Linked DNA regions of Lonchura striata. The main gene of each other region encodes a partner of the protein of the gene in region 2 in a complex. Links are inferred from orthologs where the notes say so. Each region holds a gene or a part of one and is shown on either strand. Other genes may lie near its edges.

The links.
Region 1: USP39 (region 2) and LSM3 share a complex: the UniProt entries of both Homo sapiens proteins name them as parts of the U4/U6-U5 tri-snRNP complex. The link is inferred for Lonchura striata from reciprocal best matches to the Homo sapiens genes USP39 and LSM3.
Region 3: USP39 (region 2) and LSM5 share a complex: the UniProt entries of both Homo sapiens proteins name them as parts of the U4/U6-U5 tri-snRNP complex. The link is inferred for Lonchura striata from reciprocal best matches to the Homo sapiens genes USP39 and LSM5.

What each region holds. Positions count from the first base shown.
Region 1 is NC_134614.1:14,624,718-14,628,461, forward strand, and holds the start of LSM3 (U6 snRNA-associated Sm-like protein LSm3), read left to right. Parts: upstream 1-1,319; 5' UTR 1,320-1,343; coding exon 1,344-1,367; intron 1,368-2,981; coding exon 2,982-3,092; intron 3,093-3,744. Other genes in the region: XPC (DNA repair protein complementing XP-C cells), read right to left, coding at 67-200, 386-587, 1,122-1,227. UniProt on the Homo sapiens protein: Plays a role in pre-mRNA splicing as component of the U4/U6-U5 tri-snRNP complex that is involved in spliceosome assembly, and as component of the precatalytic spliceosome (spliceosome B complex).
Region 2 is NC_134634.1:362,091-365,834, reverse strand, and holds the start of USP39 (ubiquitin carboxyl-terminal hydrolase 39), read left to right. Parts: upstream 1-1,144; coding exon 1,145-1,475; intron 1,476-2,071; coding exon 2,072-2,141; intron 2,142-2,221; coding exon 2,222-2,316; intron 2,317-2,735; coding exon 2,736-2,872; intron 2,873-2,997; coding exon 2,998-3,150; intron 3,151-3,691; coding exon 3,692-3,744. Other genes in the region: C32H2orf68 (UPF0561 protein C2orf68 homolog), read right to left, coding at 114-253, 626-741, 846-955.
Region 3 is NC_134642.1:57,675,822-57,679,565, reverse strand, and holds the start of LSM5 (U6 snRNA-associated Sm-like protein LSm5), read right to left. Parts: upstream 2,396-3,744; 5' UTR 2,338-2,395; coding exon 2,292-2,337; intron 1,874-2,291; coding exon 1,778-1,873; intron 1,552-1,777; coding exon 1,524-1,551; intron 918-1,523; coding exon 845-917; intron 1-844. UniProt on the Homo sapiens protein: Plays a role in pre-mRNA splicing as component of the U4/U6-U5 tri-snRNP complex that is involved in spliceosome assembly, and as component of the precatalytic spliceosome (spliceosome B complex).

The DNA.
Region 1 (3,744 bases), on a different chromosome or scaffold from region 2:
AGGAATCATTGTGATATACAGGCTCTTAAAAAAAGTGCTTAACATGAAAAAATATGCAATTGTTACCTTCCACATCCTCCCATTCATCTTCACTTTCATCATCATCATCATTGTTGTCAGTATTGTCTTCATCCATTTCTTTTTTAACAGGAGATTCTGTCTTTAATTTTATCTCCGTCTGAGGATGCTTCAGTGAGTCACTGTTAAAATCACAAAACAGTGGTAGCACCAGGAAACACAGGTGCTTGTTTATCAAAGACTAAAAATAGAGAAACAAATCAAGCATGATCTCTGCATCAGTAACAACCGATTGAGTATTTGACCATCAAACCACAGAAAGAAGTAAGAAAAAGGTCCTATAGACTTGAGTGATAAATAAATTTACCTGCATGTTTCTTCTTTGATAGAATTATCTTTATTTCTAGCATTCTTTTTACTTTCTTTTATTTGTGATTTTGCCTCTTCTTGTTTTGAAAGTTTGGAAGTTTTTGCTGAGTTGGAAACTTCAGTATCACAATCATCTCCCTTTTTCCTAGCTGGAGCTTTTGAGGTCTTTTTTATACTGGGCTTTTTCTCTTCAAAATCATCTGCAAATGACAAAAGAAATGAAGATTAATGTTAGAGGACAGAGTTTCATCTCCATGGCCATCTGAAACAATATCTCCATGGCCTTCATTAGAGGCAGCTTCAGAAGAATGCGAGCAATCACAATGCTGAGCATGTCATTGTTTGTTTACAAACAAGCAGGATTTGAACAGTGAGACTTGTTGGAGAGAAATACCTACATAACTCACAAGAAGTACCTAAAGATTCCTACAGTCCTACCGATGGAATCGGCGGAAAACCAAGCATCGTGCTTGCCACTCATAACAAGTTATTCTCGCATGCCGCTGCTCAGGAGAGCACGGCCGAGATGAAACAGCCCCGCACGGGCTGCTCAGCCTTTGGCAGCGTGGGGGACGAGTCACACGCGGGTTTAACGCCTGGATAACGCAGCGATAACATCCATCTTCCTCCAGGCCGGCGCGCCCGTCCTTCCCGAGCCGACCCCGCGGCTGGAGCGGCCCGAGCCGCGGCGGCGGCGCAGCTCCGGCCCGCCGCGGCCTCCGTGCCGCACTCACCCTCCTCACCCTCCTCACCCTCCTCCGGCTCGTCCTCCGGCGGCCGCCCGGAGCGCCTCTTGCTGGCGGCGGCGGGCCGGGGCGGCGCTCGGCGCTTCCTGGCCATGGCGCGGGCCGGCCCGCCCCGCGGAGGGCGCGGCGGGCAAGGCGAGGGAAGGGAAGGGGAGGGAAGGAAGGGGCCGGGCCATAAAGTCTCGCGGGCGGGCGCGGGAGGCGCGTTGAATGATGGCGGATGAGGTGGACCAGGTGAGCGCTCTGGGCTCCCTCGGGCCGCAGGGGAGGCAGCTCTGGGCAGCCCGGGAGCTCTCCGTGCCGGCTCCGAGCTTGCGCCGCTGCCGGGCCGCGGGCAGGGCTCGCTGCAGGCCCGCCGACCCCGCACTGCCCGCGGAGGGGAAGGGGGAAAGCCGCCGAGGGCAGTGCCCCGGGCTCTGAAGGACGGGGGCAGCTAGAAGGGAAATACGGGATGTGTATGGAAGATGTGGAGGAGGTCGTCACACTTTTTTTAAATTGTGATTCTCGAAGTGCGCCTTTCGCCCAGCAAGGGGCCTCAGGCCGCTGGGTGCTGGGGTTTCACGGCAGCCTCGGGGCCCGGCCTGGCCGCGGTGAGTGTGGGGGGCAGCGTGTGCCCGGGGCACCCGAGGGATCCCCCCGGGGTGTGCCCGGGGCACCCGAGGGATCGCCCCGGGGTGTGCCCGGGGCACCCGAGGGATCCCCCGGGGTGTGCCCGGGGCACCCGAGGGATCCCCCCGGGGTGTGCCCGGGGCACCCGAGGGATCCCCCGGGGTGTGCCCGGGGCACCCGAGGGATCCCCCCGGGGTGTGCCCGGGGCACCCGAGGGATCCCCCCGGGGTGTGCCCGGGGCACCCGAGGGATCCCCCCGGGGTGTGCCCGGGGCACCCGAGGGATCCCCCCGGGGTGTGCCCCGGCACCCGAGGGATGCCCCCGGGGTGTGCCCGGGGCACCCGAGGGATCCCCCCGGGGTGTGCCCGGGGCACCCGAGGGATCCCCCCGGGGTGTGCCCGGGGCACCCGAGGGATCCCCCCGGGGTGTGCCCGGGGCACCCGAGGGATCCCCCCGGGGTGTGCCCGGGGCACCCGAGGGATCCCCCCGGGGTGTGCCCGGGGCACCCGAGAGATCCCCCCGGGTGTGCCCGGGGCACCCGAGAGCCCCCAGGGTGTGCCCGGGGCACCCGAGGGATCGCCCCGGGGTGTGCCCGGGGCACCCGAGGGATCGCCCCGGGGTGTGCCCGGGGCACCCGAGGGATGCCCCCGGGGTGTGCCCGGGGCACCCGAGGGATGCCCCCGGGGTGTGCCCGGGGCACCCGAGGGATGCCCCCGGGGTGTGCCCGGGGCACCCGAGGGATGCCCCCGGGGTGTGCCCGGGGCACCCGAGATCCCCCGGGATGTACCCCGGCACACGAGAGCCCCCTGGGTGTGCCCAGGTAACTCCCTGTGCCGGCACCGCAGGCAGCGTGGGTTCGGCTGGTTCAGCTGTGCCGTGCCACGGCACAGCTATGCTGCTGGTTCCTGCAGTGTAAACTGTGGCTGCCGGTAGGAAAAACAGTTCACTGCTTATAGAATGGTTTTTGTGATGTCCTAAAGATCATCCAGTTCCAGTCCCCCTGTGTGTAAAGAATGATTTGCTGCAGGCTAAAATGAAATATTTTGACTCGCATTGCTCAGGGCTGCGGAGTGTCAGTGGAGTGGTAAATCAGCAGCACTCAGGTTCTCTAACATGTCATGGAGTAATTTGAATTATTTGCATCTGTGTTTTCACTCCTTTGTTTTCTGTGTCGCACATTGAGGAGTGGAAAAGCTGACAGGCTTCTTCTGTACAAATAATGCTGCTTTTTTTTTTTAGCAACAAACAACAAATACTGTAGAGGAGCCACTTGATCTCATCAGACTCAGTCTAGATGAGCGAATCTATGTCAAAATGAGGAATGACAGAGAGCTTAGAGGCAGATTACATGTAAGTAAAACTTTCACAACATTGTCATGCTCATCCAGCTAAGCACTGTGCAGCCTTTCTTTATGTACAACAGTCTGTTAAACAAGTTTACCTGTAATATTCCACTGGTTGTTGAAAAAGTTAGTTTTAAAACATGAGTAATTGCATTTCCTGGTTGAAAGTGCAGAAGTGGTTGGAGAAAGTAGGTTAAGAATTGTCTTAGTTACCAGAACTGTAATGTGATTGGTGGAAAAATCTCATTTCCTCAGTGCTTTGTCAGCTATTAACTGCTTCCCTAGAAAATCAAGAGATGTATTTTGTTCTTCTTGTCTCCTGAATGATACCAAGCAACAAATTTCACTGCTTTTGGCTTCCATTTCTCTGTCTGTGAAATAAGCAATAATGCTGCAGGCCTCTTCATATGATGTACCCTGAGGCCTCTTCTAGACTGAGGTCATTATTATCAAACAAGAATCCCTTAAGGCACACCCTGGGAGGTGTGATGGGACAGGTGCTCAGCTGCATTCTCAGATTTTTGCTTTCTGTAAGTCAGTCAGCCTCCCTGAGTGCTGTGCCCTGCTGGGAGGAGAACCAGTTGCCCCATGAGTTAACTGGGCCTCAACTCCTTTGGAAGCACACAGATAATGAGAGATCCATGAGGGACATGTAGTTT
Region 2 (3,744 bases):
CACCCCCCGGGTTTCCCCGTAGGACCCCCCAGGACACCCCCACTGTCTCCGGGGACCCCCAGGACACCCCCCGGGATGCCCCGTGGGATCCCCCCCCGGCCCCCGGTTGGCACCTGGTGCACGATCACGGCCGTGACCCGCCCGTCGTCCCCCTCGTACTCGAGGCAGAAGAGCCGCGGTCCCCGGGCCGGCTCCGGGGGGGCCCCGCCGCCCGCGGGGGGCGGCCCCGCGCTGGCATCGGCCCCGGGCCCGCCTGCGGCACCGCGCCTCAGCTACCGGGGCCGCCGGGGCCACCGGACAGCGTCCCGGCGGTGCCCGTCCCCATCCCGGGTGTCCCCAATTCATGGATGTCCCCATCGCAGGTGTCCCTCCAAATCCCCGGGTGTCCCGCACCCTCGTGTCCCCATCCCCACCCTCGGTCCCCCGGTGTCCCCGCACCCCCGGTGTCTCCGCTCCCCGGTGTCCCCCCCCACCCCCGGTGTCCCCCCACCCCGGTGTCCCCGGGGCTGCCGCCCCTTCCCCGCCCATCCCCGGGCTCCCCGCACCGCGGTCCCTCGGGAGCGCGGCTCTCCCGCCCCGGTGCCCCCGTGCCCCGGTGCCCCCGTGCCCCGGTGCCGCTCACCGCCGCCCCGCTGGGGCCGGTACACCGGCTGGTCGGGCCGCCGGGGCCGCGCCGGGCCCGGGGTCAGCCGCGTCCTCGCTCGGCCCCGCGCCTGCCGCACCGCGCGCTCGTACGCGTCCCTGCGCGGCGGCGGCACAGCGCGGTTACCGGCTGCGGGGGCCCGGGACCGCCAAACCGGCCCGGTGACCCCGCCGCACGCCGGTCCCGGGGGGGATGCCGGTACCTGGCGAGCTGGTTGCGGCGGATGTGCCGCACGAAGCCGTGGCTCATGTCCAGCCGTCCCCCGGGCCGGCAGCGCCAGCCCGGTGCCGCCGCCGCCGCCGCCGCCTCCATTCCCGGTACCGGCGGCCGCGGTCTGGACCGGGACGCGGCTCCTTTAAGAGCCCCGCGGGCCCGGCGCGCGCGCGCAGGCGCAGTAGCGCCTCCTCCCCGCAGCGGCGGCCGCGCATGCGCGGAGTAAGGCGGGCGGTTTGAGCCCCCCTTCCCCGCGCCGCGCATGCGCACAGCGGCCGAACCGCCGCCATGTCGAGCCGGGGGCGGCGGGACCGCGACTCCCGCGACCCCCGGGAGCCCCGGGAGCCCCGGGAGCCCCGCGAGCCCCGCGGCGCCTCCCGCAGCCGCCGCGACGCCGACGCCGAGCGGCCGCGGGGCCGGCGGGACGCGGAGCGGGAGCGCGCGCGGCGGGAGGCGGCGGAGGCGCTGCCGGTGGATCTGGCGCGCGTCAAGCGGGAACCGGGCACCGGCACCGGCACCGGCAGCGGCGTCTGGGGGGGCTCCGGCAGCGCCGCGCCCGTGCGGGTGAAGAGGGAGCGGGAGCCCGATGGAGACTCGGACCCCGAGCCCGAGCCCGCCGGTGGGCACCGGGAGGAGCGGGTGGGACCGAGGGGCTGGGGGACACCGGGGCTGGGGGGACATTGGGGTGTGAGGGGACACCGGGGGTGAGGGGACACCGGGGCTGAGGGGACACCGGGGCTGAGGGGACATTGGGGTGTGAGGGGACATTGGGGTTGAGGGGACACCGGGGCCGAGGGGACAATGAGGGTGTGAGGGGACACCGGGGGTGAGGGGACACCGGGGTGTGAGGGGACACCGGGGGTGAGGGGACACCGGGGGTGAGGGGACATTGGGGTGTGAGGGGACACCGGGGGTGAGGGGACACCGGGGGTGAGGGGACATTGAGGGTGTTTGGGGGGTTCTGGGGTGGGAGTGGGGTATTTGGGGGGGGGGGGTTGGGGTGGGAGTGGGGTGTTTGGGGGGTTCTGGGGTGGGAGTGGGGTGTTTGGGGGGTTCTGATACTGGAGGGTCACCAGGACTGGTCCCGGGGTCCTGAGCTCAGCTCTGGGCAGGGTTTGGAGGCTCAGCCCTGGAGGTGTCACAGAGGGGGCTGGGGGGATCATCCTCGTGTTTTCGGGGTCCTCGTGCCCCCTTTTCACACCCTGCCCTCCCCAGTGCGCTACGGGCGCTTCGACCCCGAGGACCAGCGCAGCCGGCACTGCCCCTACCTGGACACCATCAACAAGTGGGTGACGGGGCTCTTTGGGGTGCCCCTGGGGGTCCCCCAGCTGCCCCCCAGCCCCGTGACACCGCTCTGCCCCCCAGAAGTGTCCTGGACTTCGACTTTGAGAAGCTCTGCTCCATCTCCCTGTCCCACATCAACGTCTATGCCTGCCTTGTCTGCGGGAAGTACTTCCAGGGTGAGAGCTGCTGGGGCATAGGGACAGCCAGGAGTGATGTGGGACACCCGAGGGACAGCCAGGAGTGATGTGGGACACCCGAGGGAGAGCCCAGGAGTGATGGGGGACACCCCAGTGCTGCTTTGAGGGACACTTGGGCATAGGGGTGGTGGTGAGGGGGACACCCAGGGACTGGGGTGAGGCACAGGGGGTCTGGGGTGTTGCTGGGGACACCCAGGGACAGGGAACAGCCAGGGACAGGCTGCTGCCAAGGTGTACAAAGAGGGGAGGGACACCATGGGGACACCCAGGGTGGCTGCTGGGGTGCTCAGGGACCCTCCAGTGGGCACAGCCCCCGTACGTGCCCAGGGGATCCTCTCTGTGCCCCCTGCCTCTGGCACGGCGCTCGGTGCCATCCCTGGTGCCACTGTCCCCCACAGGCCGCGGGCTGAAGTCACACGCCTACATCCACAGCGTGCAGCTGAGCCACCACGTGTTCCTCAACCTGCACACGCTCAAGTTCTACTGCCTGCCCGACAACTACGAGATCATCGACTCCTCCCTCGAGGACATCACGGTGCGGGGGCACTGGGGGGCACCGGGGCTGCCTTGGGACCTCCAGGATCGAGGGGTTGGGATCTGTTCCAGATTGAGGGGTTTGGGTTGGGGTCCCCCAGCTCTGAGGGCTCTCTCCCCCCACAGTACGTGCTCAAGCCCACCTTCACAGCCCAGCACATTGCCCACCTGGACAAACAGGCCAAGCTGTCCCGGGCCTACGATGGCACCACGTACCTGCCTGGCATCGTGGGACTCAACAACATCAAGGCCAACGACTACGCCAACGCTGTGCTCCAGGTGACACCTGGGTTAAGGCTTCCTTTTGGGGTGAAACGCCCCAGAACATCACTGTGGGTCTGACAGGCAGATATCACACCTTGTCTCCTATGGGCTGTACACTGTGAGGGTGTCCAGGCTTCATTCTGGGCTGAAACCCTCCCAGAATCCTGTTCTGGTGCTCTCTGGGATGAGTCCCACCTCTTTTCCCACAGCATGTTCACATGGGGAGTGCTGCCTTCATTTTGGGCTGAATCCCCTCTGAAATCCTCCTCAAACCCCACATTGGGGGTCCTGAGGGTGGATCCCACCTTCTCTTCTACAGGTGTTACACCTGGGGGGTGCAGCTGGCCTTTTAGGGTGAAAGCCCCACATAAACCTCCCCAAACCCCTCTGTGGGGTGATCACCCCACCTCTGGATCCTTCCCAGGCTTCTCCACCCATGGGGGCTTGGGGGCTTGTGGAGATTCCCCGCCCATGGCAGTGCAGGGCCTGCCCCAAAGCCCCTCCCAGATCCCTCCTGTGGGGGTCCCAGGGCTGAATCCCCCTGCTCCATCCCCAGGCCCTGTCCAACGTGCCTCCCCTGAGGAATTACTTCCTGGAGGAGGAGAACTA
Region 3 (3,744 bases), on a different chromosome or scaffold from region 2:
CTTTGCAACAAACATTTGAGGACATGAAGATTTCATGCTAGACCACAAAAGTGGCTTTTTGACTCTCCCCTCCCTACAGAGGAAGTCAATTATTTCCCGAGATGCACAAACCAAAAATGCAACAGGGACTAAATCAGCATAGCACATCCTTGCAAAGGAAACAAAGAACTGAAGAACAGAAAAAAAAAAAAATACAGAAGGGAAAAAAAATATTAACCACTACTTTTACTGATATCTTTTTCATTATCAGCTGAGAACTTCTAAAGAGAAAGAGCTTCACTGGTTTTGGGATCAAAATAAGAGTAAGTCTAAAGCATGGACTTCCTCCATGGGGAAAATATGTCCCCAGAAGAGACATGAGATCTGATGCAGACATGTATCTATGTCTTGCTGAAAATTCAGCAGGTTCTTTTTCAAGGGCAACACAGTGTACCCCAGTGTAACTGGATGGTAGGAATTTCACACCATACAGGGAGTCAGAACATATGTTATCCTTTCAACATGCAGAACAATCATCAAAGCAGATAAAAGGCTTAGAAATTAACACAGGATGGCACCTGCTCTGACACACAATGGAGAAGTGCAAGATGGGTAAAACAACACAATGGAGACAACTCCTCATTCATACAGAGCCAACTTAGACTCAAATATTTCCACTTTAGCCCTCCTCTAACCACAAAAAAAAATTGGAAGTCCAGGCTTTGTGGCCAGCTATGCAGATAAGCTACTTAAACTTCCTGATGTAACGGAACTACCAGGAAAGCTCAGCTTAAAGGAGTTGAATACCATCACCAGTCGATTAACAGGCACAGAAAGTCAACACACGCAGCCTCTGATGACTCACCATAGTTATGTTATTTCCATTGAGCAGAATCTGGTCCAGCTTTGTGATTCTTCTGCCCTCAGGTGTGATCTCACTGAAGGAGCATTAGAAAGAGTAAGTAAGAACACAGAACCAGGGACAATGGCTCCAGATTCGACCATAGAACTGACAGAAATCTCTGCATTAAGGTGACCATGGTTGGAACTAACAAATAAATCAGCTACACTGCAGCATGATCTTGATAAATGGAGCACCTAGGTACAGAAAGCTAACTGAAAAGGTCTCTTCTACTCAGTACATGGAGATGTGTATTCACCCTCTACAGGCTGACAATTTTTTGAATATACATATCAACATGATATGATAAAGTAAAAACATTTAAGTTAGCTACCTCGCTGAATATTTGCCTAGGTCTTAAAGAAGTGTAAAACCAAATTAAGTACTGGAAAGTTTCTCACACAACCCATGCATAATTAGGACTACAAATAGGATCCCCATACAAGTATAAACCACGCAATAGCTACTCTATGACATGGCTGTCCTGAACAGATCACCTTCTATAGTTTTAAGTCCAATGTTAAACTAGTTAGCTGGTAATTATTCCATAAATGTAGAAACATTTTTCTAGCAGACCTTACATAGTGTTTTGTTTCAGTGAACCAAACATTAAATAGCAACAATAGGCAGAAAACGTACTTACAATTCTGTAACATCTTCTAGCACCATATCTGAAAATCCAGTTTCAAGGAAAATAACGCCCAGATTTTAAAACTAGACTAATTAATGCTATTTTCATCTTAGGCCAAATGCAATTTTACCTGAAAGTTGAAAATACCAGAATACAACCAATCCATATAAAAAGGTTCTAGTCAGTGAACTAAAAACTCTGAAGAGCTATAAATCACTTAGACCAGAGCATGAATCAGACAGACTTAAACATCCATCAAAGGATACTGACAAAGTCATCAAATCCTAGAAGTGTCCCAACTATTTCTTTGTCGCTTTTCATCACGATGTGAATGCGTGAACCGATGCACTTGTCCACAAGTTCTGTAGATACACAGAAAAGCATAGGTTCTACAAAGCAAGTGTTTCGTGCCTTACGGGTTTTTTTCTGCTTATTTACACAAACACAGACACATTCCACACAACCTTACACACTCCCCCTCTACTCTCCCACACAAACCACCCACCCCCCCGATCCTTACACCCATCCCCACTCCCACTGGCCTCCCTCAGACAGTCCCACAGCCCCACACCTCACCTCAGCCCCCCGACCCCAACACCCCCACACCTATCCCCCACTCCCATCCTCCCGGGCCGTGCGCGGGCCCCGCCGCCCGGCGCTCCCGCTCCCCGCCCGGCGCCAGCGCAGCTCGGCTCCCCAGAGGGGCCGCAGCCACCGCGGCCCCCGCACAAGGACCACGGGCCGGGCCCCGACCGGGGGCCGGGAATCCCCCGTGGTTACCGAGCGGCAGGAGCTGGGACGGGTTGGACACCGCGCTCGCCGCCATCTCGGAGCCGGCCCTGGCCAATGGCCGCCGCCTCCGCCCACAGCGACGGGGCCGGGCCGGCGGCCGCACCGCCCCCGGTGCAGGCGGGGCCCGGGAGCCGCGGGCTGCGCTGCCTCCGCGTACGGACGAGACTCGAGCGGGGCTCCCTCTTTTCCCTCTTCGTTCCCGTGCTGCCGGCCCAGGCTAGCGGCGCCGGCGGGGCTGCCGCCATTTCGATGTGCCCCCGCGCCAGGACCGCGGGCTGTCTGCTGTGCGCCGGAATGGCTCAGCTGCTGCGGCACCACGGAGCGGGCAGGTTGGAAAAGATCTCCCACGAATCCCACCACGTCAGCCAAAACATAGCACTCAGTGCCACATCCAGTCTTTCCTTATACAACTCCAGGGACACTGACTTTACCATCCCCTTGGGCAACTTCTCTGTGATTCTTTCTAATGTCCAACCTAAACCTCCCCAGCACAGCTTGAGGCTGTCCTCTCGTCCTGTCACTTGCTACCTGGGAGAAGGACACCAACCCCTGCCTGCCTCTGTGTACAACCTGTTTTTGGGCACGTGTAGAGAGTGTTGAGTCCCCCAGGTTTCTTTTTCTTGACACTGAACAACACAGCTCCCTCAGCAGCTCCTCGGGGAACTCGAGCTCCAGTTGCCCTCCTCTGGATTCACTCCAGCACCTCAATATCCTTCTTGCAGAGAAGGGCCTATTGCCAGATGAAGAATTGTTTGCACAATGGGTGGGTTAATACAACGCTTATTCTTCAAAAACCATTGACCTATGGAACTGCACAATGCTTATTCTGTAGGAAGAAGAATTGGAAAGCAGCCAGCCCAGTTGTGCCAACTTTTACCAGTTCAATAAGCCATCAGCTGTGACTTTGGTGTCCCTGACCACCAGGGATTACCAAAGAGACCCCCAGGACAGAGCACATGGAGAGAGGGGAGGGAACGTATGTTAATGACTTCAGGGAAATGATCCTCATATATATGGTTCTTCTAGGAAATCCTATCAATATGTATGTAAAATACAGCATGAATAAGATTTCGGAGGACCTATCCCGTCATGCATCCAGATGAATAAAGAATGCTGGCTTCTTAATGCTACATTAGTGTTAAGGAGTTTTTATTTTCACTGACTTTTGGTAACAGGCCCACAGCTGAGCACAGGATTTGAGGTGTGGCCTCACCAGTGCTGAGCACAGGGGAACAGTCACTGCCTGCTGTTGCTGGCCCCTCTGTTTTATGTGCAGATTTTCACCCCCCACATTTGTCCGTTGACTCACTAGAGGTGGCCATGTGGGAGGTTTTTGAAGCCATTCAGTAACTTCATCCCACCACCATTCCCAGCTGGCTTCATCTGTGCACAGTAGCCACAGGGGGCAGAGACAGCCCTCTGGGCCTCCTGGGCATGGGGA